Linked DNA regions of Cricetulus griseus. The protein of the gene in region 1 interacts with the protein of each later gene in a pairwise test. Links are inferred from orthologs where the notes say so. Each region holds a gene or a part of one and is shown in the gene's direction. Other genes may lie near its edges. The genes, in order: Rgs20, Glrx3, Hoxa1, Otx1, Ptpmt1 and Faslg.

Region 1 (3,500 bases):
CTGAGCCCAGCTGTCCCTGGCGCTCTCCCCACCAGAGCCCCAACACACTGTCACTTTTATTCGTTGCTTCCTGCCTCCACTTTCATTTTTCTTGGCAACTACTACTCTTTTTTTTTTTTCACAGACAGATTGAAATGTTTTTGTGTTTTGCTTGAGGGAAGTGTTTGGATTGGCAGTTAGGTCGGTTTGTAACTACACTAAATATTAGTGCCCAAAAAGCTAAGAAGGACTTAAAAATGGAAGCCTAAAGCAAGTGGCCTTCAAACAACACCAAGGCACAGGGTGGCACTCAATTGTAATCCTCATACCTAGGAAACTGAGGTCAGAGAATGGAGTTTAAGACTGGCCTGAGCTACTCAGCAAGGCCTTGTCTCAACACACACACACACACACACACACACACACACACACACACACACACACACACACACACACACACACACACACACACTTTTTTAAAGCAATAAAACTTTTCTAGAAATAATTATTTTTGGCAATCCTGCTGTAAATCTTCTCTTTCTGTCCCTCCTCCTTCCCCTCATCTTCCCCTCCTCCTTCCCCTCCCCTTCCCCCTCCTCCTTCCCCTCCCCCTCCTTTTGTTTGAAACAGATTCTCAGATTCTCTAGCACCTTGAGTTGACCTCAAATTCATTAAGTCAAGGATGGCAGATGATGGTATCCCCACCTGCCTTCCCACCTCCCCAGTGCTGGGATTACTGACATATGGGCAGTTTTGCTGTGCTGAACCCAGGGCTAGGTAAGCATGCTAGGAAAGGAACCAAATGAGCTTCATTCCCAGGCTTAGCTGAGCTACTGTGCAGCCTCACACTCCTAAGGCAAGAAGCATTAAAGTTTAAAGATTCTTTAAAACAAACTAAGGTCTCTCTGTACTTTCTACATAGCCCTGGCTGTCCTGGAACTCACTCTGTAGACCAGTCTGGCCTTGAACTCACAAAGATCTGCCTGCCCAAGTGCTGGGATTAGAGTCATGTGCCACCACTCCCAGCTAAAGGTTCTTTTAAAAGACTAACTTCATTCTTTCATCTTACAAAAGTAGATAAACTCTAAAGTTACAGTTCCATTCCCACAGTTGGGGGTTGTTAGTAGGAAGGCTATTTCTAGGACCCTGTGCTCCTGACTGCTACACTAAATATGCCCAAGAATGCTATTTTTTTAACTCCTCCTCTCACACACAAAAAGCATGTTTTCTTTCAACCCTCTTAATGCCTAAGTATCCTAGGAAGACACAGAAATTGTAAGAACTCTGAGAATAAGTTTTACAAATGGAGTACAGAAAAGAGGCCTGCAGTAGGAATGCTTACAAAACCGAACTCTGGTCTCCTCCTCTCCACTGAACGCTAAGGCCAAGTTGGCTAGCAACTTTCTCCCAAAGCCTAAGGCGGGTCTAGCATTCTTCAATCAGCTGCATCTACCATCCAGGTCTCACTTAATAGCAACCCCAGTAGGACCCGGTAACCAAGTGTATCACTGTCTCGGGTAGGTAGTGGTTTATTGGAAAAGGACACATCGAGAAGGATTCCGATGAAGAAAGGGGAAGAATTGCAAAAATTATCTGTGAACATAAACCTTCTTACACAGGCACGCCACGTTTAGCGTCATACAGATTCCACAGGGTTGTAACGAGCAGATTCTGATGAACTAGGCTGGGGTAGGGACTCAAGTTTTGCATAGCTATAGAGCCTCTGAGTATTGGGTATTGGCAACTGCTGCTGGTCCAAGGGCCACAGCGTTGAACAGCATCATTTTAAAGAAGGGGAGAAGTGAAGGGAGACTCTGACCTCGCGGTTTTGTTTTGCTTTTCACCGACCTTCTCCTGTACCCTCAAAGTAAATTCTCAAAATGCTTCATCAAGCGGTCTCAAGTAGGTGACTGGACAAGATCCTAACGTGTTGTTTCTCTCTTTCGCCCACACTCTTCGCGCCGTTCGCCCTGCACAGCTCCCAGACTCTCCCGCCGTGTGGACGCTGCTCCACCACCTTTCTAGCCTGCTCTGCAGCTTCACGCGATTCTTCTCGGGTCTTTTGCGGCGTCCCCCTCCTGCGGCTCGCCCGCGACGCTGGGACTTCTTCCCTCAGCTTCCTGCCTGGCCTGCCTCCAGGCTCTCTCCAGAGCCCCGCCGCCTCCTGCTCCTACTCGCTGCCTCAATGGCACTGCCAGGCCGACCTCCGAGGAGTCGTCATCTGAAACTGACAAGTCCAAACCCAGAGTCCAGAGAAGAGGACCCCTGCTCTGGGAGGAGTTCGCCGGAGTGCGTGAGTACTGGGGACGCCTCTAAACCCATCCTTGGCCTCCCGCAGCCCCAGGCTTTCCCACCCGTTCTAACCCGACTGACTCAACCCAGTCCGCACAACGCTGAACACACTGGGCTCCCTGACACTCCCACATCCGCGGAAGCAGTAGAAGCTACTTTCTCCCAAGCCATTCATTCCCTGTATACAGTTCCTAGGAGCGGGAGAAAGCCCTCTGACGCCTCCGAGGATCTTTTCCAACTGTGGTTGCAGCTCCTTCCCCCAGCCTCGCTCACAGAGCATCCCAGCGCTTCGCCACCGCCGGTGGTTGAGTTGGCGCTCCCACTCCTCTGCCCTCTCTGTAGGAGAGGGAGGAAATGACGTGGTGTTATTTTTGTGTCAGGTCACTTTGCTGCTTTAATTTAGCCCTCGGAGCTCAGGCGTACTGCCCCAGGGGCCCACTCCAAGGCTTACTCCGAGAGCCGCGGGGACCCGGGAGCTGGGAGTCTTCATTGCTAGGAGTCAGGTGGCGCGGCCGCAAGGGGCTTTTCCCATCGCCTCTGAGTCCTAAGGGAACAGGGGTTGCCGAGGGACTGCGTGAGACCCGAGTCCAGGCTTAGGTTGTCCTGCCATCCCAGTCGCCAGGTGGGGCCATCCGATTCTGGCTTACCCGAACCAGGTGAGACCACCGTCTAGAGCGAGAACAGTACCAAACGAGTTGGGAGCAGAGGTCGGTAGCTCTCGGGGTAGCGGGAACAGCGGCGTCTGCAGGAATTGTCCTGCAGAGGCGGCAGTTCACAGGCACGACCCAGGGTACAGAGTATCCGCTCCTCTCACGACACCTCCTTTCATCCCTGCGCTGGTCCCCTAGCTCACTTCATTCATGAGGTCCCAGCACTCATTCACTCACTCTGAATAGACCCGCGCAGGCTAAGGCCAGAGAATAAAAAGAGAGGGATTTGCAGGAACCCTCAAAGCTCGTTCCGCGTCTCACCCACTCATTCGGTGCTACTGGAAGAGAAGAGCCTAGGTGGGGGCTCCTCTTGCGAGCTTTGGGACTAAGGAGTGCCCCCAGCCTCCGAGTGCTGCGCGCCGCCGCCAGTAGGAGGCGAGCCTAGGGAATGCCCAGCCCTGGGAAAGCGAGCGTGGAGGCGGAGAGGAGTCAGAAAAGGGAAAGGAGGAGGAAGAAAGGAAGGCTCGGGAGCTTAGACCCAGACACGCAGCAAAGGGCGGGAGGCAGGGAGCCAGCGCG
Region 2 (3,500 bases), on another chromosome or scaffold:
TAGTTATTAAATGTGGCAGTTAGGCTTATCACTCATGTCATGAGTGGAAATGACTGCAGATAGAAATGGTGATTTTGTGGTAAATGAGATTTTTTTTTTTAAACTTTTAAGTGCTTCTATTGCATGCATTCATTTTTCTTCAGGAGTGTATAAATATTTTGTTATTAGAATAAAGCCTTATTACTACTTTATCCTTAAGCATAACATTTCCAATCTGCCACTTTAACCCTTAAAAATGAAACCCTACCAATCAATCTTTCTAGTCTGCATGTAATTGCCTAAAGCCAAAATAAAGCCTTTTTTCAGCCAGTTACAGTAGAAACGAGCTAATATATTGGGAGCAGAATAACCATCAGCAGTCAGCCGTTAGCTGTTTACTAATGAACTCCCAGATGAGTGAAAACATTCAGAAACAGTGTTTGACTTCAGGCTGTGCATGAGCACCACACTTGAGTTGTAGGAAATGCAGCTTATGTGCTGCACGCTCACCCTAGTGCTTCATCTCAACAAACGGCAGAGCCAGGAAGTGACTGGGACTCAGCTGTAGATCCATGTTTTTAATAATAAATTCACTTTTGGGTGACGTCAGGTAAAACCATTGCAGTTAATCTTATGCTGGATTTTATGATTTGATTTCATTTGAAAATAATTGCTGATAGGAGGAAATCCTAGAGGAATTTTTAATTGGAAGAATAGGTTGTGATCCAGTGAATTGAAGACTATGTTTCAAAGAATGGTGAAATGAGAAAGAGGAAGGTGCTTTAGACTTGGAGATGTAATTGGTAAGAATTAGCATCTGGAAAGAAAAGTAACCTTTTTTCAGCCTGGACTGATAGGATGCTCACACCCACCCTTTCTTCACACTCATGCTTACACCCCTTCATTGTGAACACTTCACCAAAGTCTAATACACTCTTGGGACATAAATTTGTCACTATAGTGTAGAAAAAAATCATGCTACACACTGTAGGGAATGTGGAACTTTAGGAAAGCATCTATCAGGTTATAGCATAAGCTGAGAAGGAATGCTGTCAGTCTATAGACAGTTCATATGTAACAACAAAGATGATTTTAACATTTACTGTACTGTGATCACTTAGACCCAAAGAGAGCACTTCTGATTCCCATTCATCCTGCTCAGATGTGAAGATGAGAAACAGCTGCAGAAGTGTGTATGGGCTCACTAGAGTGGAAGTAAGGACTGTACTTGGGTCTCACTGTGGTCAAGCAGTGGTTAAAATAGCTGTCCTAGGTGTCCTGGTCAGTTCCTTGATGGAGAGGGAGGCAGCTATAGAGGGCTTTGTTCCATGTCAGGGTGGAGACTTGCCAGGCTGTCAGGGTTCTGCTCTTAGACCAGTGCTGTGTCTCCAGTTAAAGAGCAGCTTTGATAAACACTTACCCCACTCAGTGTTAATATAACACTGCAGTTGTGTTAACATATATGTTAAAATCTTGCTGTGTGAGGCTCTAGGTCAAATGAGGGGCTTAGCATTTTGTTCTTTTATACTATGCAGTTATTCTGATTCAATCACTGCAGGCGGGGTGGGCATTTCTGTCTCCTGGATACCATGTGACATTGTGAGAGATGCTGAATTCTCTTATTTCCTTGTTCTGTTGCAGGTTTCAGCAAGCAGATGGTGGAAATCCTTCACAAACACAATATTCAGTTCAGCAGTTTTGATATCTTCTCAGATGAGGAAGTTCGACAGGGGCTCAAAACATACTCTAATTGGCCTACCTATCCTCAGCTTTATGTTTCTGGAGAGCTCATAGGAGGACTTGACATAATTAAGGTTAGATTCTTTATGAAGACATTTTGTTTAGAGCATACATTTCTAATGTGTTATAATAAATTGAAACCATGTATTTCTTATTGCACCTAAGGTGAACACAGTATTTCTGATAGTCATTTGTCAGTATTCCATATTGGGGGTGTTCGAGATGGTTTATGCTGTAATAATGTCCTTCTTTCAGGAGCTGGAAGCATCAGAAGAGCTAGATACAATTTGTCCCAAAGCTCCCAAGTTAGAGGAAAGGTAAGTACCAGGAAGCTGGCCGCAGTGTGACCTGAGTATCTTAATAGTCTATAAATCCTGTTACTGCATTGTTCTTTCGGAGTAGACACCAAACATTTGGGTGTTTGCCTGTTGGGATTATAACTTGGTGGTTCCTCAGCACTTAGTCTTGAAAACTTGGGATGCTCTGATTTGGACTGGAGATGTTTTAGCTCAGCTTAGTGACTATGGAGGGTATATTTGCTGTTGCAGAAATATCACTTTTAGTGGGCCTAGGGCCTTATTTGGTTCCTGCTTTTTCATGTGAGCATAGCACTCTTGTGTTTTTGTGTGCAGCTGAAGTGCTGTGTTCTGTCCTTGAGTGTGGTAAGAGTTGAATGGGAAAAGCTCAGGTTTTGAGTGGCTTTTTTAAGTCACAGTAACAAAACTCAGGCAGACTCCAGAGCTGTGAAGCCATCCTTCTTTTTAATGAGGGATCACAGTCTGCTTCAGAAGTCTTGTGGAAGTGTTGTATTTTGATATGGACTTTTGAAAAGGACTGTTGTAATGAATATGAATTTATTAATTCACACTTTTCATATTAATAATTAAAAGGAATTATCTTTACATGCATTAGCCCATCAACTTTTAGTTGGAGCTTGAGTTTGTAATTTACTTGCTATTTCACATTTTGAAAATTTCAACAAATGTTTAATAAGAAAAATCATCTGTACTTAATTCAAGTACTCTTAGGAATAGAATTCCATGTATGTCATACTGGCTCAGTGCCAGTGGTCTATACCCTTTCCTTGTGATGAGATCCTTCTTTGATCTTTATTGTGGCCCATGTTGTCCTTGCCCTCTGAGGCTGTGCTGTTCCCACAGTGGCTCTGCATTTCATATTCTGGATTGGCTGGGCACTGTGCTTTCCTCTCTGGCCTGTTGTTGCCTTGTCTTCATCAGATCTTCTTTCCTGAAGTGCTATTTCTAGCTCTCCTGTGCTTTAGGTATGCACAGATACTGGCTAGAGCTGTAGAGAAAGCAGTGTTTGGTATATTTGGGGGAGTAATTTGAAGGGCTCCTATCTAGCAAAATGACGTGTAGTCTAGTAAAGTTACCTGTGGTGCATGAATGTAGGTGGTTAGATCATTTGCTGAGTGGGCTAGACTAGGTCTGGAAGTGTAAATGTCATGGCCTATGTGATCTGTTCACTAGACTGGCATCAGTTTTATTCTACAAGGAAATTTGGACCCATAGTGCTTCTACAACATGAGAGGAATGAAGAGAAAGTGATGTTACCCATTGTCCTTGTATTGATTTTCCCTAAAGATTTGTGAATAAACTTTGTTCCAAATTTGGGTGATTAACATTCCTGATAGCAAGTTAGAGCATGGCATATACAATATGAAGTATCAAGTTAAAATGAGAACTGTGATTATCACCAGTTAGTGGTGGTTGGAGGGCTAAGGTTCGCCTTCTTACCTTTGTAGCCAGCAACCCTGCTCT
Region 3 (4,181 bases), on another chromosome or scaffold:
GGGGTGAGGTTGATGGAAAACAGGACCCCTGTCCTGGGATGATGCTCACATTTGCACGTGTCTCTCTGGGGAGTGACCTGAAGGTTCACACAAGCAACTACACAGTCCGTTGGAAAGTATACAATCCACTCAGCCATCTGTCCACTGCCCCTCCCACCTGCCAGTCCCTCCCCACCCCCCAGACATGCAATAGGGGGCGGTGGCAAGAGGAGGTTTTCCCACTCCTAACAAGCAAGCCCCTTATGAAAGAGAGAAATGTGACGCGGGAGGTCAGCATACTTTGTAAGAACTGTGCGATCCGTCCTTCTGTCCCGTCCCTCCGTCCCTCTGAGGCCTACGCTGGAGCGAGCAAGCTCCTGGGTCTCTAAGAGCAGACAGAAGGCCTGCAGCTCAGGCTCGGCCCTCATGCCGGCCACGTCTGCTAGCGTCATCTTTCTCATCTGCCTTCCACCCTCAAACTCCAGCAGCAGAGTTGCTCCGGATCCTGAGGGACTACCAAGAGCAAAGCTGACTGACTGGGAAGGAGAAAGGGGAAGAGATCCAGAGAAGAGGGAGGGCAGAGAAGAGAGCAGACACCCGGACTTTCCCAGAGAGCTGGGTTCCTAGGGCTCCCCCGCCCCCCTGGGGTCGAATTACAGAAGCTCCCATAGCCACGCTATTGGCCCGTAGGAGTCAGGGCAGAGGGCTCTGAGACCCTCCGGATGAGGACAGTAGCTTCTTTTCTTTCTCTGGTCCCCATCACACCCACCCTGATTCCTCCCAGACAATCCTTTGCGCACGTCCCCCTACATTCCGAGGCGGGTGAGGCAGTGACGCAGCCTTGCCCTAGGCGCCTGGGTTCCAGGCTCAAGTCTCTGCAGGGACTGGGTGGTGGCGGCCATCCCGAGCTGAGGGGATGATGTGTGCTGGATTCCTACCCTTCCCACCCTGTTTGCTCCCGGCTCCGCCAGGGTCCTTGAGACCATGCAGAGAGCTCTGGCCTACCGAGGCCCGCCTCAAGAGAGCCGAGAGGCCTCGTCCCCTCTCACCTCTTGTCAGTTCAGCTTTCTAGGCTGGGTGGGGAAAGGGCCGCGGAGGGTCGCCTCCCATCCCCCACATCCTGGAGGCGGAGGCGAGCAGAGTCGGGCGCGCGCAGAAGTCAATCTCTACTCCCCTTGGCCCCAGTGCTCCAAGTCAGCTCTGGCAGCGGCCGGAGCAGCCGCCGCGGCCCGGGCAGCCTGGGGGGGCGACCGCGCGTCACCTAGACTGAGGAGCGCCGGGGATTTAAATGCCACTGAAACGGTGATCCATCACCGCCGCAGCCGGTAAACTTTCGCAGGCGGCTCAGCCATTGGTTGACAAAGTCACGTGTCCTTCCCCTTGAGTCCTCCGCCTTCCCGCCCCGCCTCTTGCGCACTGTACATTCATATCATTTTTCTTCTCTGGTCCCATGGAGGAAGTGAGAAAGTTGGCACGGTCACCCAGGGCTTCGCAGGACCCAGTCACTCAGTGACAGATGGACAATGCAAGAATGAGCTCCTTCCTGGAATATCCCATCCTTGGCAGTGGCGACTCCGGGACCTGCTCTGCGCGAGCCTACACCTCTGACCATGGGATTACAACTTTCCAATCCTGCGCGGTCAGTGCCAACAGCTGCGGCGGCGACGACCGCTTCCTAGTGGGCAGGGGGGTGCAGATCAGCTCGCCCCACCACCACCACCATCACCACCCCCAGCCGTCTACTTACCAGACTTCTGGGAGTCTGGGGGTTTCCTACTCCCACTCGAGTTGTGGTCCAAGCTATGGCGCGCAGAACTTCAGTGCGCCTTATGGCCCCTATGGATTAAATCAGGAAGCAGACGTAAGTGGTGGGTACTCCCCGTGCGCTCCCGCTGTTTACTCTGGAAACCTCTCATCTCCCATGGTCCAGCATCACCACCACCACCACCACCAGGGTTATGCTGGGGGCACGGTGGGCTCGCCTCAGTATATCCACCACTCTTATGGACAAGAGCACCAGAGCCTGGCCCTGGCCACGTATAATAACTCCTTATCCCCTCTCCACGCCAGCCACCAAGAAGCCTGTCGCTCCCCTGCTTCAGAGACGCCTTCTCCAGCGCAGACCTTTGACTGGATGAAAGTCAAAAGAAACCCTCCCAAAACAGGTGAGTCCTGCCGGCTGGCAAACAAATGTTGCTTGATTTTGAAAGGGGCCGGTGCGCTTAGTTTCCTAGGAAAGTTAATGATTTTAAAAGATGGGTTCTTGCTTCTGTCTAGTGTCTTCTGGAGTTATAGTGTGTGGTGTAGGATGCCCAGGTGTGTTGGGGCAAAGCAGTTTCTGGACCTGGCATTTTCAAAGGGGCTGATGCTTCAGTGGTCTAGAAGTAGGAAGCGTGTGTGTGTGTGTGTGTGTGTGTGTGTGTGTGTGTGTGTGTGTGTGTGTGTGTGGTGTGGTGTGGGTGGGAGGTGTCGGTGGTGGTGGAGTTTTGTTAATATCTACAGGCTCCATTAATCAGAAGCCTGACCACGCTAATGGTTGACTTCAGGTTAACACTTTACATACACATCGTTTGTCACTAGAGCTTCCCAGCTGGGTTTGTGCTGAGCAGTTAACCGAATGTTGCCCCGAACATTGGGCAATCGGATAAGGGTTAAAGAATTTTTACCTTTTCCTCTCTTCCTCCGTTACCCCAGGGAAAGTTGGAGAGTATGGCTATGTGGGTCAACCCAACGCAGTGCGCACCAACTTCACCACCAAGCAGCTCACGGAGCTGGAGAAGGAGTTCCACTTCAACAAGTACCTGACACGAGCGCGCAGGGTGGAGATAGCCGCGTCCCTGCAGCTCAACGAGACCCAGGTGAAGATCTGGTTCCAGAATCGCCGCATGAAGCAGAAGAAGCGTGAGAAGGAGGGGCTCCTGCCCATTTCTCCAGCCACTCCTCCTGGAAGCGACGAGAAAGCTGAAGAATCTTCTGAGAAATCCAGCTCCTCGCCCTGCGTTCCTTCTCCAGCATCATCTACCTCAGACACCCTGCCTACCTCCCATTGAGGCCACTCCAGCCCAGCTCCGTAGTCCAGGCTTCTCCCTGGGCTAGGGTTTCTTACCCAAAGCACATCTCTAGCTTATCTTTCTTCCTTTACAGTCTCTCTTTTTCTTTCTGGTCCAATCCAGAGAGCTCCTGGGCAACATAATGTAGTTCCATAGAATTCTGGAGACTTGGTTGTAAATTAAATCCTTAATCCACATCGGGTGCCCATATCAATTTCTGGTGGCCCCCAAAATTCCTTCCTCACTGTTGTGAGAGTTTTTTTTACACAACCCATGGTTCCTTTCAGATGTCCCTTGGAGGACAGTACCCTTTGCCAGCAGGCATTTGAAGAAGGGAGGCATCTCACCTTTTATCTGTATATTGTTCTTCTCTACCTGGCTCTTAAGTAGGACACACAAAAAAGAGAGTATCCAAAGGCTCATGAAGAAGAGATTGACTGAGTGTGTTTACACAATTAATTCACCCCTTAACTTTCTCTTGAGAGATTTATCTTTATACAGATTTTCTAGAAACATGCAGAACTATATCAAACAGGGTGGGCAAACTTCCAAAACTGGTGATTATGGGTGGACAAAAAAGGGGGGACCCTGGCATTCAAACAGAACCAGATTCCTCAAAAGGTAGCCTCAATTTGCTCTTGCAGAGTCAAGAAGGCCTGAGAAGCCCAAAGTTCAGAACCTTTGCTGTGCCAAGACTTCCCAAATTACCGATTTCTTCTTGCTTCTCTGGCCACCCTCCACTTAAAAAGTGTGCTGGATTATTTGTAACCTAAAGGTACTCTTTTCAGTCACCCTTTCTTTCCACAGTTATCTTGGCTGGATACAATGTATTTTCAGCTAATTGTTAATGTGATGGCACAATGAATGTATATTTTGTGTGATTCGTGAATAGTCTTCTGCATGTCGCACAATGTTTTGATGTCCCTGAAGTACCACACTGAGTTCTATCAGTTATCTTTTGTGAGCCTACGATAGTCCCCCTTTCCTGTACAATCATGAACAGCTCTGAGATCCCAGAGGGATGTGATCCAGAGCAGAGTTTACGGGTCTTAAGACGTCTGTAATAAAAAATATTCAAGTTTTGGGTATGCTTAAGCATCTGTGTATTTGGCTGGGCTACAGTTTGTGTCTTACTACAAAGTAAGGGGAAGG
Region 4 (4,042 bases), on another chromosome or scaffold:
TTTCCCTGAGTTCCCACCCTGGGCTCCCTGTAAAGCCGGGTGTAGCTAGAAGCCCCCCTCTCGGGTCCCAGCCCTACCCCCCCAGAACCCCTTCTTCCGCTGGAGAAGAGCGCCAGGGGCTCGCAGTGTCTTCGGCCGAGCCTAGCGCTCCCAGCTTGGGTGTGCGGGAGCTTTCCGACTTGAGGCCTAGTTCTCTGCTCTCCACCGAGTTCAGGAGAGGACGGCGAGGAGCCCACGCGATCCAGGGTGCTCTGGCTTCTGAACTCCCCAGCATGCTTTGAGCCGCTGGGCTGGTCATCCTTTATCAGACCCTGGTGGGACTCGGTGTGCTCTCTCGGACTTGGTAGAAAGAAGGTCGGGCCTGCGTGGGCTTAGGAGGACGGGTGACCGTCTTTGAGGCACCCCTGACCTTGGGCGGCTTCTTGAAACTGCCACTTCTACTGTGGCGCCTTTGGCATCTTCTCGCCGCCTCACCCGGGCCTGGGCCACATCTACCCTAGAAGTGCGTTGAAATTCCGGTTCACCCATCTCCTAGCGTCAGGGGCCCAGAGAGGTCAGATAGAATGGTGATTGGGACTCTGGGGGAGGGGGCTGCTCTGGAGATCTCTGAAGGAATGATGTGACCAAAATGGGCAGTTGCCTGGGCGATCCAAGGGGTACTAACCTTGGACCTCTGTAGTGCCAGCGGTTTTGTCCCTCTTTCAAAAACATTTGAAACTTAAACAAAATAACCCGGTACGTACGCTCTGTACGGCCTGCCATCCCGGCGCCAAGTGAACATTTGCTTGAGCAAATTGCTTCCGCAGCACTAAAAAAAAAAGACTACACTTGGGATTTTGCACCCTCCCCGGTCCCGGCTCTCACCTCCTCGGCCTGATCGCGCTTTTAAGTTTTCTTTCCTGTTGACACTCAAGGAGTGTCTTTGGCCCTTGTCAAGCCCTAAAAGAGGAAGGAACGATGTGGGGAAAGTTTACTTTTCTAAGAAGCCGGCTTGCTGAGCTTGGAGGAGAAATTTCTTGGGTTGCCTGCCCTGTTAAGTTCCTAGCCTGCCCCCCTCCCCATTCTAGGATTATAGGAACTGAAAGCCAAAGTGACTGCGGGTGACGGTTTCCATGTGTCTCCTGTCTCCTTAGGCCAGGCCCCCAGAAGCAACAGCTTGAAGGACTTCGAAGTGGGAGCCCTGAACTGCTCCTGGCCCCAGGCCCCCTGGATCCGTCGGGGCGCCTCCACCCGGCAGTTAGCATGATGTCTTACCTCAAACAACCCCCATACGGCATGAACGGGCTGGGCCTAGCTGGCCCTGCCATGGACCTCCTACACCCCTCTGTGGGCTATCCTGGTGAGCGGTGGCCCTATGTCCCTACCCCCAAGCCTGTGCAAATATTGGGGGATTCCAGCTTTTAACGTTTGAGCCCACACAGTCCCCAAACAGGCCCAGGGATATGATTATCTCTGTGTCTGTTGCCCAGATCTGCTACAGGCTCTCCGGTTTGAGTTTAGAAACTGTGACCTACAACTTTTGAGCTTGTGGTGCCTGCTCCTGTTGTGGTCTCACATGCTAGAGAAAGCATGTTTGTCCACCGACGTATTTCCCACCGGTTGCTTTTTTAAAAAAATAAAATCTTGCCCGCCCAAACATTTCACGAGGAATCTGGACTCGATAGGCCCTAATGTAAACAGCCAAACTTCCCTTATGTCTAGCTGCCTTGAGAAGCAGAGCTCTTTCTCCCTAGTCAGAGTGCCCTAGAGACCAGGGACCTGACCCAGCTCTTCCGTGGTGGCAGACGACTCCAACTGAACCCCGAATTTATTTTCTGGATCCTACTTCTTTGCTTGAATTTATTCACTTGGAAAGCTTTCCCAGGTCCTGTTTCTACCTACCTCTGTTCTACTTCCTACCTTTCAGCCAGAAGTGGGCTTAGGGAGATGAGGAGGGGATGGCTTTGTTTTTTATCTGAGAGACAAGGAGGGCTGAGGCCCTGATGTTTCTTTCAGACAGGAGCCTCTAGCCCAATTTATACACTTTGCCCCACCTGTGGGCAGGGAAGTTTGCTTTTGCGCGGAGGTCGGCCTTTCCTTTCCATGGCAGGGTTCTGGACCTACCAGAAGACCTGCGTGTGGCCTCTAGCTCCAGTCCTCGAGGTCCACTGCTGACTCCAGGTGCCCTTGTATGTCCCCACAGCCACCCCGCGGAAGCAGCGACGGGAACGCACCACCTTCACGCGTTCACAGCTGGACGTGTTGGAGGCCCTTTTCGCAAAGACTCGCTACCCGGACATCTTCATGCGAGAGGAGGTGGCGCTCAAGATCAACCTGCCAGAGTCCAGAGTCCAGGTGCGTGGTCTTTGGGACTCTAGGATTAGGGTAGGGGCGCTAGGAGCGGTCGGGGAAGATCCGACCTGGGCCATCTGGTGTTGGGGCCCATTCACTGACTGGACAGCCCCTCTCTAACTCCCCCTAGTGCTGGGCTTCAGTCAGCTAAAGGGGGGTAACATTTTAAAAAGTAATGGCTTAGAGCCCAACATCTCTCTAGCCCTTGTCCCCAGGGCGCTTTCATTGTTGAAAGTCGGTTTTTGGATTTTGGAAAGGCCAGCCGTGTCCCCCGGGTGTAACTTTCCCAGAAGGTTAGATAATGGCCCCTGCTTCCTGGCTACAACAGAATTTGGCGTTTTCCTACTGAGCCTTAGCTCTCCTTCCGCTCTTGTCTTTCTTACCCTTCCCTTGAGTCCTGGGGATTCTAAAAGTGCAAGATGGAACTTGGTCACAGCCTAGCGCAATCTGCCTTGGAGTGTGCTCTGAGGGTGGAGTCGGTATGGTTTGGAGTTTTCTCCAGCCGAGTGGAGGCCGAGTGCAAAATCCAGATGCTGGGTTTACTGTTTCTAAAATGAAACAGTTCAGAAAATAGGAGTTCTGAGTTAGTCTAAAACTCTTCCTCGAGAGTCTTTTGTCTCAACTTCTTTCCCTGAAGGCTCGAGAAGGGACTGGGAATGCAATGCCCCGTGTCCGGGCCCCTCCAAAAGGAGTGCGAATTTATGACTTATCGTTCCATTTGGTACCCCACCTGGAGCCAAAAGGCCCAAGGAAACCTCACCCAGGCTTCCTTCACGAGAATCCCAGTACTGGAGTACTGCTTCCGTTCAGTTCAGCCTCCAGCCTTGCTTCTGTTCCCACCCAAATATTTGCCCTGCCCAACTCCAGTCTCCAGGAGCCGACTCGGTGAAACCCCTCGGGCCCCAGACTTGGTGACTGCCCTACTCTCCGATGTTCTGTACTCTCCGCTGTTTCCTGAGCTCTGTTCTTGGAAAACAGGGCCTCCAAACTAAAACGGGGCTGCGGGGAAGCAGCCAACTGCAACAGCTTAGAGATGGCTGAACTTCTGGCTGGACAGACGCAAACGTTCCGCCCTTGGGCAGAGTTGCGCTGGGCTTGGGGAGGTGCGCATCCCTCCTGCGGTGGAGGCTGACTGGGGGCTTTGCGCAGAAGGATGGGGGAGGGAGCCAGAGCTGGGGACCTAGCACGTGCGGGGGAGGGGACAGGGTCTGGCAGGGCCAGAGACTGGGAGGGGTAGAGGCTGGGATTGAGAGGTCCCTGAGATCCTGGGCGGGGTGTGAGTCCGAGGGGCGGAGGAGCTGTGAGCTCCACTAGCCAGCCCCCTGATCCCTTCTCCTTCACCCTGCTCACTGCAGGTTTGGTTCAAGAACCGCCGTGCCAAGTGCCGCCAGCAGCAGCAGAGCGGGAACGGAACGAAAAGCCGGCCGGTCAAGAAGAAGTCGTCTCCAGTGCGCGAGAGCTCGGGCTCGGAGAGTAGCGGCCAGTTCACGCCGCCTGCCGTGTCTAGCTCGGCCTCTTCGTCTAGCTCAGCGTCCAGTGCCTCCGCCAATCCCGCGGCTGCTGCGGCCGCGGGCCTGGGTGGGAACCCGGTGGCAGCCGCGTCCTCTCTGAGTACGCCTACTGCTTCGTCCATCTGGAGCCCGGCCTCCATCTCGCCAGGCTCAGCACCGCCATCCGTGTCCGTGCCAGAGCCACTGGGCGCACCGAGCAA
Region 5 (4,121 bases), on another chromosome or scaffold:
TGTAATTGCAGCTCTGGGAGTTCCAACACCTTCACATAGACACACAAGCAGGCAAAAATAGCAATGCATATAAAATGAAAAGAAATAATAGAAAAAAGTGGGTATTCTCTTTTCAAGGGAGTAAGTCTCACTATGTTGTGCAGACTGGATTTATTTATTTATTATTTTCATTTTATACACATGGGTAACTTGTGAGCCTACTGCCCGTGGAGGCCAGAAGAGAGCCTTGGGTCCCCTGGAACTGGAGTTGAGAGCCACCATATAAGTACTGGGACTCAAACCCAGATCCTCTGGAAGAGCAGCAAGCTCTAACCACTGAGTCCATCTTTGTGGCTCCATGGCTGATTGTTTTGAACTCAAGGGATCCTCTTGCCTCAGCTTCCTGAGTATCTGGGACTATAGGCATGTACGTGCCTGGCTTGTTAGAGTTATATATTTTTTCTTTTTGTGTGTGGGTTTTTTCAAGACAGGGTTTTACTCTGTAGTTCTGGCTGTCCTGTAACTCACTATGTAGACCAGGACAGGCTTGAACTCCCACAGAGGTCCACCTGTCTCTGCCACCCAAGTGCTAGGATTAAAAGCATGTGTCACGGGACTGGAGAGATGGCTTAGCGGTTAAGAGCCTTAGCTGCTCTTCCAGAGACCTGGGTTCAATTCCCAGCACCCACATGGCAGCTTGAAACTGTCTGTATCTACAGTTCCAGGGGATCTCACACCATCATACCACTGCACATAAAATAAAGTTAAATTATAAAAAAAAGCATGTGTCACTATGATAGACTGTAATATTTCTCTTCTAGTGAAAGGCATATAATAGAGAAAAAATAAAAACAACAGTGCTATGAAGAAAATTACTTTTCTTACTATTAATATATACTTTTCATACTATGTATATTCTAACTTGGTCAGGGCGGGTTTGGGATTAGGGAGTAGGACTTAATGTTAAGAAGCAGGCAGATTGCAAGAGTGGTGGCTATGCCATTAATCCCAGCACTTGGAAGGCAGGGGCGGGAGTGTCTCTTTGTTGTGTTTTGGGCCAGCCTGGTCTACATAGCCAGTACGAGGTATTTAGGGCTATATAGTGTGACATGGTCTCAAAACAGAAGAAAGAAATGGAAAGACTGGATTGTAGGCCATCACGCAGGTTCTCTGTCCACTCCCGCTCACCCCAGTGCTGGATCCTCCAGGGCCTCCCTGGGTTTAGAGGAGCCTCTCGGCTCATCCTTCTCCCAGGTGATGGATGCACCCGGGGTCACGCCCCAGGTCAGGGGTTGGAGAGAGGGCCCTCCTCCCTAGGCAGGGTCACAGTTTCGTTTCTCGTTGCCGTTCCAGCGCCCTCCCCCCGCCCCCCAGCCCTCCAGCCTCCGCCGCGGCGCCTCTCTTTCGGAGGCATGGTGCCAGTCCCGGGAGCCCAGAGGCCCGGCGGGGACCGCGGGGACCCAGCTTCCGAGAGTCGGGAGGGGCCGAACAGTCCGCAGCTCTCGCCTTCCGCGTCCTTCTCGCGGTGGCTGGCCGCGAGCCCGGGGGCCGGCGGCTCGCCGCTGCGCCTGGCGGGGTGGGGCGGGATGGCGGCGTCCGCGTGGCTGGAGGCCGGCCTGGCCCGGGTGCTCTTCTACCCGACGCTGCTCTACACCGTGTTCCGCGGCAGTGTGAGAGGCTGGGCGCACCGCGACTGGTACCACCGCATCGACTCCACCGTGCTGCTGGGCGCGCTGCCGCTGCGGAGCATGACGCGCCGGGTGAGAGAGGCTGCCGGGCCCGGCCGGGAGCGGGCCCCGGGCCTCGGTGGGCGCCCCACGGCCCTCGCTGAGCCCTCTCTTTGCTTCGGCAGCTGGTACTGGACGAGAATGTGCGCGGGGTGATCACCATGAACGAAGAGTACGAGACAAGATTCCTGTGCAACACCGCGAAGGTGAGGACCGAGGGCCCGCCAGCCTGGGCCAGTATTCGGGCCTGTGAGAGACGCTGCCGGGTGCCTGTCTCTCCCGGACAAGTGTCAGAGACCTAGTTGCCTTCTCGTGCCCTGAGTATGCCCGTCAAGGTAAATGGCTGCAGGTGAAAAGTTGATAAGCCAGAAGGAAGTCTGCGAGCCTGGAGCTCTGGCGACTCAGGTGGCTGAGGCAGAATCTTTAGAGTCCCTGAGTTCAAAAGTGCCTTGGGCACTGTTTGAAAAAGAGAGTGAGCTAATCCAGTTGGGTGGCTCACTGCTGGAATTCCAGCTAGCACAGGCAAGAGAAAGGATTGCTGGAAGTTCCAGGCCAACATGGAGTTCTGCACCAGACAGGGCACAAGCAAGCCCTTCAAAATCGGGACCAGGGGTGCAGTGCTTTATGCACAAAATTGTAAACGTATATGTTACTTTGCATTTGTTGTTTATTTTTGAGACAGGGTCTAAAGTCAATAATTAACTTGATCTGATTAGGTTCCCTCCACTTTCCAAGTACTGAGATTATAGGCATGTGCTAATACACCCGTCTTGTATTTGTGATTTTGGTAACTAAAATTGTGACTTACATGCCTTGTCGATTTTTATTCATTCTCATTCAACACTTATTTGAGCACCAATTGGCAATGTGTTAGTTAGCTTTGGAGATGAAGGCCAACTCTAAGAAAAGCACCTCCTTTTAAGAGGGGGTGTGGCTTAGCTGAAACCCTCTGGAGGCTGAGGCAAGAGGATCTCTGAGTTTGAGGCCAGCCTGGTCTACAGAGTTCCTGGGCATCCAGGGCTACACCGAGAAACCCTGTCTCGAAAAAACAGAAAAAATAAATATAAGGAGGGGGCCAGGCGTTGGTGGCCCACGCCTTTAATCCCAGCACTCGGGAGGCACAGGCAGGCGGATCTCTGAGTTCCAGGATAGGCTCCAAAGCTACACAGAGAAACCCTGTCTCGAAAAACCAAAAAAAAAAAAAAAAAAAAAAAGAGGGGATGTGGCTCATACCTGTAATATTAGCACTCTGTGTGTGCGGCTGGGAGTATCAAAAACTTGAGGGCAACCTGGGCTACATGAGGTTACATCTAAAAGCAAAGTCACACAGATAAGAAAAGCACACCCCCACTGGGCGTTGGTGGCGCATGCCTTTAATCCCAACACTCGGGAGGTAGAGGCAGGTGGATCTATGTGATTTCGAGGCCAGCCTGGTCTACAAGAGTGAGTTCCAGGACAGCCTCCAAAGCCACAGAGAAACCCTGTCTCGAAAAACCAAAAAGAGAGGAAAAAAGAAAAAAGAAAAGCACACCCCTTCCAGGATTGGGCATAGTGGCGCACCTTTAATCCCAGCGTTTGGGGTGCCAAGTCAGGTGAATACCTGAGTTCGAAACCATTATGGTCTACATAGTGAGTTACAGGACAGCCAGGGCTATGCAAAGAAACCCTGTCTTGAAAAAGAAAAGAAAGAAAAACTGCACTGCAGAGCAGGCTGGGGATTTGTTTCAGTTGATAAAATGCTTGCCTAGTATATAGGAAGCCCAGTTCAGAATAAAAACCAGGTGTGGTAGTGGTGCAGGACCTATAATCCCAGCACCAGAGGCAGAAGCAAGATATGAGTTCAAGACTAACCAAGGCTATATGAGGCCCTTTCTGAAAAAAGAAAAAAGGGGAACAAAAGAGTATGTCACTCTTCCTTGAATTTCCCCAAGTACTGTCACAAGGTCTCAGAGTTAATATTCACTAATGTGGTCAGTTGTTTTTGTTAGTCTAAGGACATAATGTGGTCAGTTGTATAAATCGAGGGGTGACTGAAGCTACACAGACAAAGCTTGGTCTCTCATTGTGAGGCACTGTCATTTGCTGTTTTTTTAATTTAAATTAAAAACAATCTTATTTTACATATCAATTCCAGTTCCCTCTCCCTCCCATCCTCCCATACCCTCTACCAACCCCCATCCACTCCTCAGAGAGAGTGAGGCCTTTCATGGGGGATCTTCAAAGTCTGTCACATCATTTGGGGCAGGGTCTAGGCCCTCCCCTGTGGTTCTAAGATGAGAGAGTATCTCTCCATGGGGAATGGACTCCCAAAGTCCATTCGTCCACTAGGAATAAATACTGGTTCCACTGCTAGAGGCCCCACTGCTAGACTGCCCAGGCCTCTTAATTGTCACCCATGTTCAGGGGGCCTGGTTT
Region 6 (3,042 bases), on another chromosome or scaffold:
ATTTCAAAGCATAGACAGTAACGAGGATGTGCATAAAACTGTTGACAGAGGATAGAAACTTCCTGTTGTATTTCCTTTAAGATGGGAAATGATCATTTTTAACCATGCAGGTTTTGCAAGAGCGTGAGCACGAGCACACACACATGTGCAAACACCTGTCTGGGCTAGATAAATTGGACCCTGAGGATATTGTCCTTTGGCTCTGGAGCTTACAAACTCTGACTAAGTGCACGTCTCTCCTGTAGATAATGGCCAGCTGGAGAGGGTGGCTTCAGGGTAGAGTGGTCATAATTCCTGTTTGAAGTGTGAAGAATTCTGATTTCCCCCTTGCCTCGACCTCTTGGTGACCTCTGTTAAGGACATGTCAGGTTGGCACAGGAGCCCCAGCCATCATTTCCTGAGAGGAGGAGATGGCTGCCTTGATTGAAGGGAGTGTGACATCAACACTGGCAAAGGTGGTGTGTATTTGTCACACCTCAGAAGTGGGCATTGCTGGTGCTTCCTGGGAGGGATGTGACAGTCACAGGCACAGGGCTATTAATGGAATCTGCCTAAGTTTTCCCTTGCCTCTCAATGGGGTGAGGCTCAGCTGCTATGGTCTGTCATTCTAGCTGGCCTCAAGGGCTAAAGTACACATGGGAAAATGTAAGGGCACATGTGACATATGTGTTATATTTGATGTAACCACAGCATGAGGAATTGCAAAGGGAAGGAAGGGAGTCTACTAGGCTGACAGTCCTGTGGCAGAAACAAAGAACAGTTATCCCAACTCTTAAGGAAGCCCTCTGTCCATTAGATAAACCAAGAGAGATTATTTATAAAACAAAAAGTGCACTCTTTTCAACCATGCCAAAATCCACAAGGGGACTTGTGACATAAGTCCAAGAGGAGCAGCCAAGGGTGAGTGATGCACTGTTTTGAATAAGAAGAGATTGTTCTGGCATTTGTGGGTTTTCAGCCTATGATTATAAAGTAAATAAGTGTTTTAGTATAATATGGCATGGGCAACTCCATTAGAAATATAAACATTAAAAATGTAGTTATATATCACAAGAAGAGGTGTACCATACCTCCTGTCATCACTTGGAGGCTGTAGAAAAATTCATCTGGGTCCACAAACACTTATTGAGTACTTGCTGTGTGTAGGTACATAATGCTGTGTGAACAAAATGGAAGGGGATTAGCCCAAAATAAGAGGCCAAGGAATCCAAACTAAACAAGGAAGTGGACCACATAACCATGAGATTTTGTCCAGATGTAGAACTCTGGAGATCATTCTCTTTATGGAGGGATGCCCAAGCTCAGCGGTGTTGGTACTAGTTTAGATCATAAAATGTTTGTTCCAGAGAACTGAAATTATCCTAATAGTCTTCCCTGAGATCAATCAGAGACACACACTAAATTTGTCCCAATCACATGGATGATTAAATTAGGGTGGACAATTTGACAAAGGTGTTGAAGAAACTCTGGGGTGGACCATGCTTTGACCCCTGATTGGCTGTCCTTCTGGATAGAGCTTTTGTTAAGGAAGGGCCCAGAGTTTTCCCTTGGAATCTTAGCCCATCAGATGTGGGAGACCTTCTGGCTGAAAGTTCTTCTCTGGTTTATTTCAGGCAACCCCAGCTCAAGGTCTGTCCTTCTGGAGTGGGAAGACACATATGGAACTGCTCTGATCTCTGGAGTGAAGTATAAGAAAGGTGGCCTTGTGATCAATGTCCCTGGCTTGTACTTTGTATATTCCAAAGTATACTTCCGGGGTCATTCTTGCACCAATCAGCCCTTAAGTCACAAGGTCTACATGAGGAACTCTAAGTATCTTGGGGATCTGGTGTTAATGGAGGAGAAGAAGTTGAACTACTGCACTCCTGGCCAGATGTGGGCCCACAGCAGCTATCTGGGGGCAGTATTCAATCTTACCAGTGCTGACCATTTATACGTCAACATCTCTCAACTCTCTCTGATTAATTTTGACGAATCTAAGACATTTTTTGGCTTATATAAGCTTTAACAGAAAAAGCACTTTAGAATTATCCATTATTCCGTTTTATGGGTACTGGGAATATTGTCTTGAATGAGTGTCTTTTTAAGACCAATTGAGATTAATCAAGACAAAATGAGCCACAAAGACCTCATGATCACAAGGTTCAACAGGTCAACTTTCCTTCATTTCCCAGAGTGGTCCTTAATGCCTCCATCGTGAGCTAGATGGAAGGAGAACTGTGGCCAAGGAACATAAAGCTTTGGGCTGCCATGTGATGATGCAGAGGCACAGAGAAGGAACTGTCTGATGCTAAAAATGGCCAAGAGCATTTTAGCCATTGAAGAGGACACTTTTAAACTCACCTTTCAGGGTGGGTCTACTTGCTACCTCAGAGGAGGCCATCTTTCAGACACATGGTTATGATCTGAATATACAAGGCATGGGAAAAGGGGGCCAGGTTTGACTGATAAGCTAGAGACTGAAAGAGGCCAATGTCTCATTGGCATCATCTTTACTTTTAACGGGTGTTTTCTGAGCCAACCTTTGATGCTAACAGAGAACTAAGAGGGATGTTTGAAGCACAGATCATTCCTTACACAGCATGTGTATCTCCAGTGCAATGGCATGTGTGTCTCCAGTGCAATGGCATGTGTGTCTCCAGTGCAATGGTGTCTGTGTGTGTTTGTATGTATGAGAGAGCAGACAGACAGATTCTAGAGAGTCATATAAATAGAATGTGTGCATTACAAAGTACATATTAGAAACATATGTGTTACATTTGGTGGTGGATATCTGAATGTTTCTTGGCAATAAACTCTAATAGTCTTCAAAATTTTTTTATTACCAGCTACTTATGCTGTTTTCCTTTAATAGAACTAGTATATATATATATATATATTTTGTGAATCTTAGTGAAAAAAGACAAATAAAAATTGTATTGCAGAATATAGAAAAGTATTAAGGATATAGTGTTTGGAAATCAGCGAGATGTGCTTATTGTTTCTTTTCTCCATGGTTTCTTCATTCATAATGGCTTTGGAGCATTCTGAGAAAGATTTACA

What was found.
Region 2: the proteins of Rgs20 (region 1) and Glrx3 interact in binary tests that used the Homo sapiens proteins (3 or more experiments, as listed by UniProt). The link is inferred for Cricetulus griseus from reciprocal best matches to the Homo sapiens genes RGS20 and GLRX3.
Region 3: the proteins of Rgs20 (region 1) and Hoxa1 interact in binary tests that used the Homo sapiens proteins (3 or more experiments, as listed by UniProt). The two-hybrid records come from large-scale screens. The link is inferred for Cricetulus griseus from reciprocal best matches to the Homo sapiens genes RGS20 and HOXA1.
Region 4: the proteins of Rgs20 (region 1) and Otx1 interact in binary tests that used the Homo sapiens proteins (3 or more experiments, as listed by UniProt). The two-hybrid records come from large-scale screens. The link is inferred for Cricetulus griseus from reciprocal best matches to the Homo sapiens genes RGS20 and OTX1.
Region 5: the proteins of Rgs20 (region 1) and Ptpmt1 interact in binary tests that used the Homo sapiens proteins (3 or more experiments, as listed by UniProt). The two-hybrid records come from large-scale screens. The link is inferred for Cricetulus griseus from reciprocal best matches to the Homo sapiens genes RGS20 and PTPMT1.
Region 6: the proteins of Rgs20 (region 1) and Faslg interact in binary tests that used the Homo sapiens proteins (3 or more experiments, as listed by UniProt). The two-hybrid records come from large-scale screens. The link is inferred for Cricetulus griseus from reciprocal best matches to the Homo sapiens genes RGS20 and FASLG.

Annotation. Positions count from the first base shown.
Region 1 is NC_048595.1:158,247,441-158,250,940, reverse strand, and holds part of Rgs20 (regulator of G-protein signaling 20), read left to right. Parts: intron 1-1,898; coding exon 1,899-2,272; intron 2,273-3,500. UniProt on the Homo sapiens protein: Inhibits signal transduction by increasing the GTPase activity of G protein alpha subunits thereby driving them into their inactive GDP-bound form.
Region 2 is NC_048596.1:63,474,010-63,477,509, reverse strand, and holds part of Glrx3 (glutaredoxin-3), read left to right. Parts: intron 1-1,620; coding exon 1,621-1,793; intron 1,794-1,974; coding exon 1,975-2,036; intron 2,037-3,500. UniProt on the Homo sapiens protein: Together with BOLA2, acts as a cytosolic iron-sulfur (Fe-S) cluster assembly factor that facilitates [2Fe-2S] cluster insertion into a subset of cytosolic proteins.
Region 3 is NC_048601.1:89,186,605-89,190,785, forward strand, and holds Hoxa1 (homeobox protein Hox-A1), read left to right. Parts: upstream 1-1,381; 5' UTR 1,382-1,495; coding exon 1,496-2,144; intron 2,145-2,673; coding exon 2,674-3,029; 3' UTR 3,030-4,129; downstream 4,130-4,181. UniProt on the Homo sapiens protein: Sequence-specific transcription factor. Regulates multiple developmental processes including brainstem, inner and outer ear, abducens nerve and cardiovascular development and morphogenesis as well as cognition and behavior.
Region 4 is NW_023276807.1:84,695,354-84,699,395, forward strand, and holds the start of Otx1 (homeobox protein OTX1), read left to right. Parts: upstream 1-1,242; coding exon 1,243-1,339; intron 1,340-2,182; coding exon 2,183-2,334; intron 2,335-3,686; coding exon 3,687-4,042. UniProt on the Homo sapiens protein: Probably plays a role in the development of the brain and the sense organs. Can bind to the BCD target sequence (BTS): 5'-TCTAATCCC-3'.
Region 5 is NC_048599.1:85,841,095-85,845,215, forward strand, and holds the start of Ptpmt1 (phosphatidylglycerophosphatase and protein-tyrosine phosphatase 1), read left to right. Parts: upstream 1-1,321; 5' UTR 1,322-1,391; coding exon 1,392-1,739; intron 1,740-1,831; coding exon 1,832-1,912; intron 1,913-4,121. UniProt on the Homo sapiens protein: Lipid phosphatase which dephosphorylates phosphatidylglycerophosphate (PGP) to phosphatidylglycerol (PG).
Region 6 is NC_048598.1:30,345,254-30,348,295, forward strand, and holds the end of Faslg (tumor necrosis factor ligand superfamily member 6), read left to right. Parts: intron 1-1,613; coding exon 1,614-2,008; 3' UTR 2,009-2,542; downstream 2,543-3,042. UniProt on the Homo sapiens protein: Cytokine that binds to TNFRSF6/FAS, a receptor that transduces the apoptotic signal into cells. Involved in cytotoxic T-cell-mediated apoptosis, natural killer cell-mediated apoptosis and in T-cell development.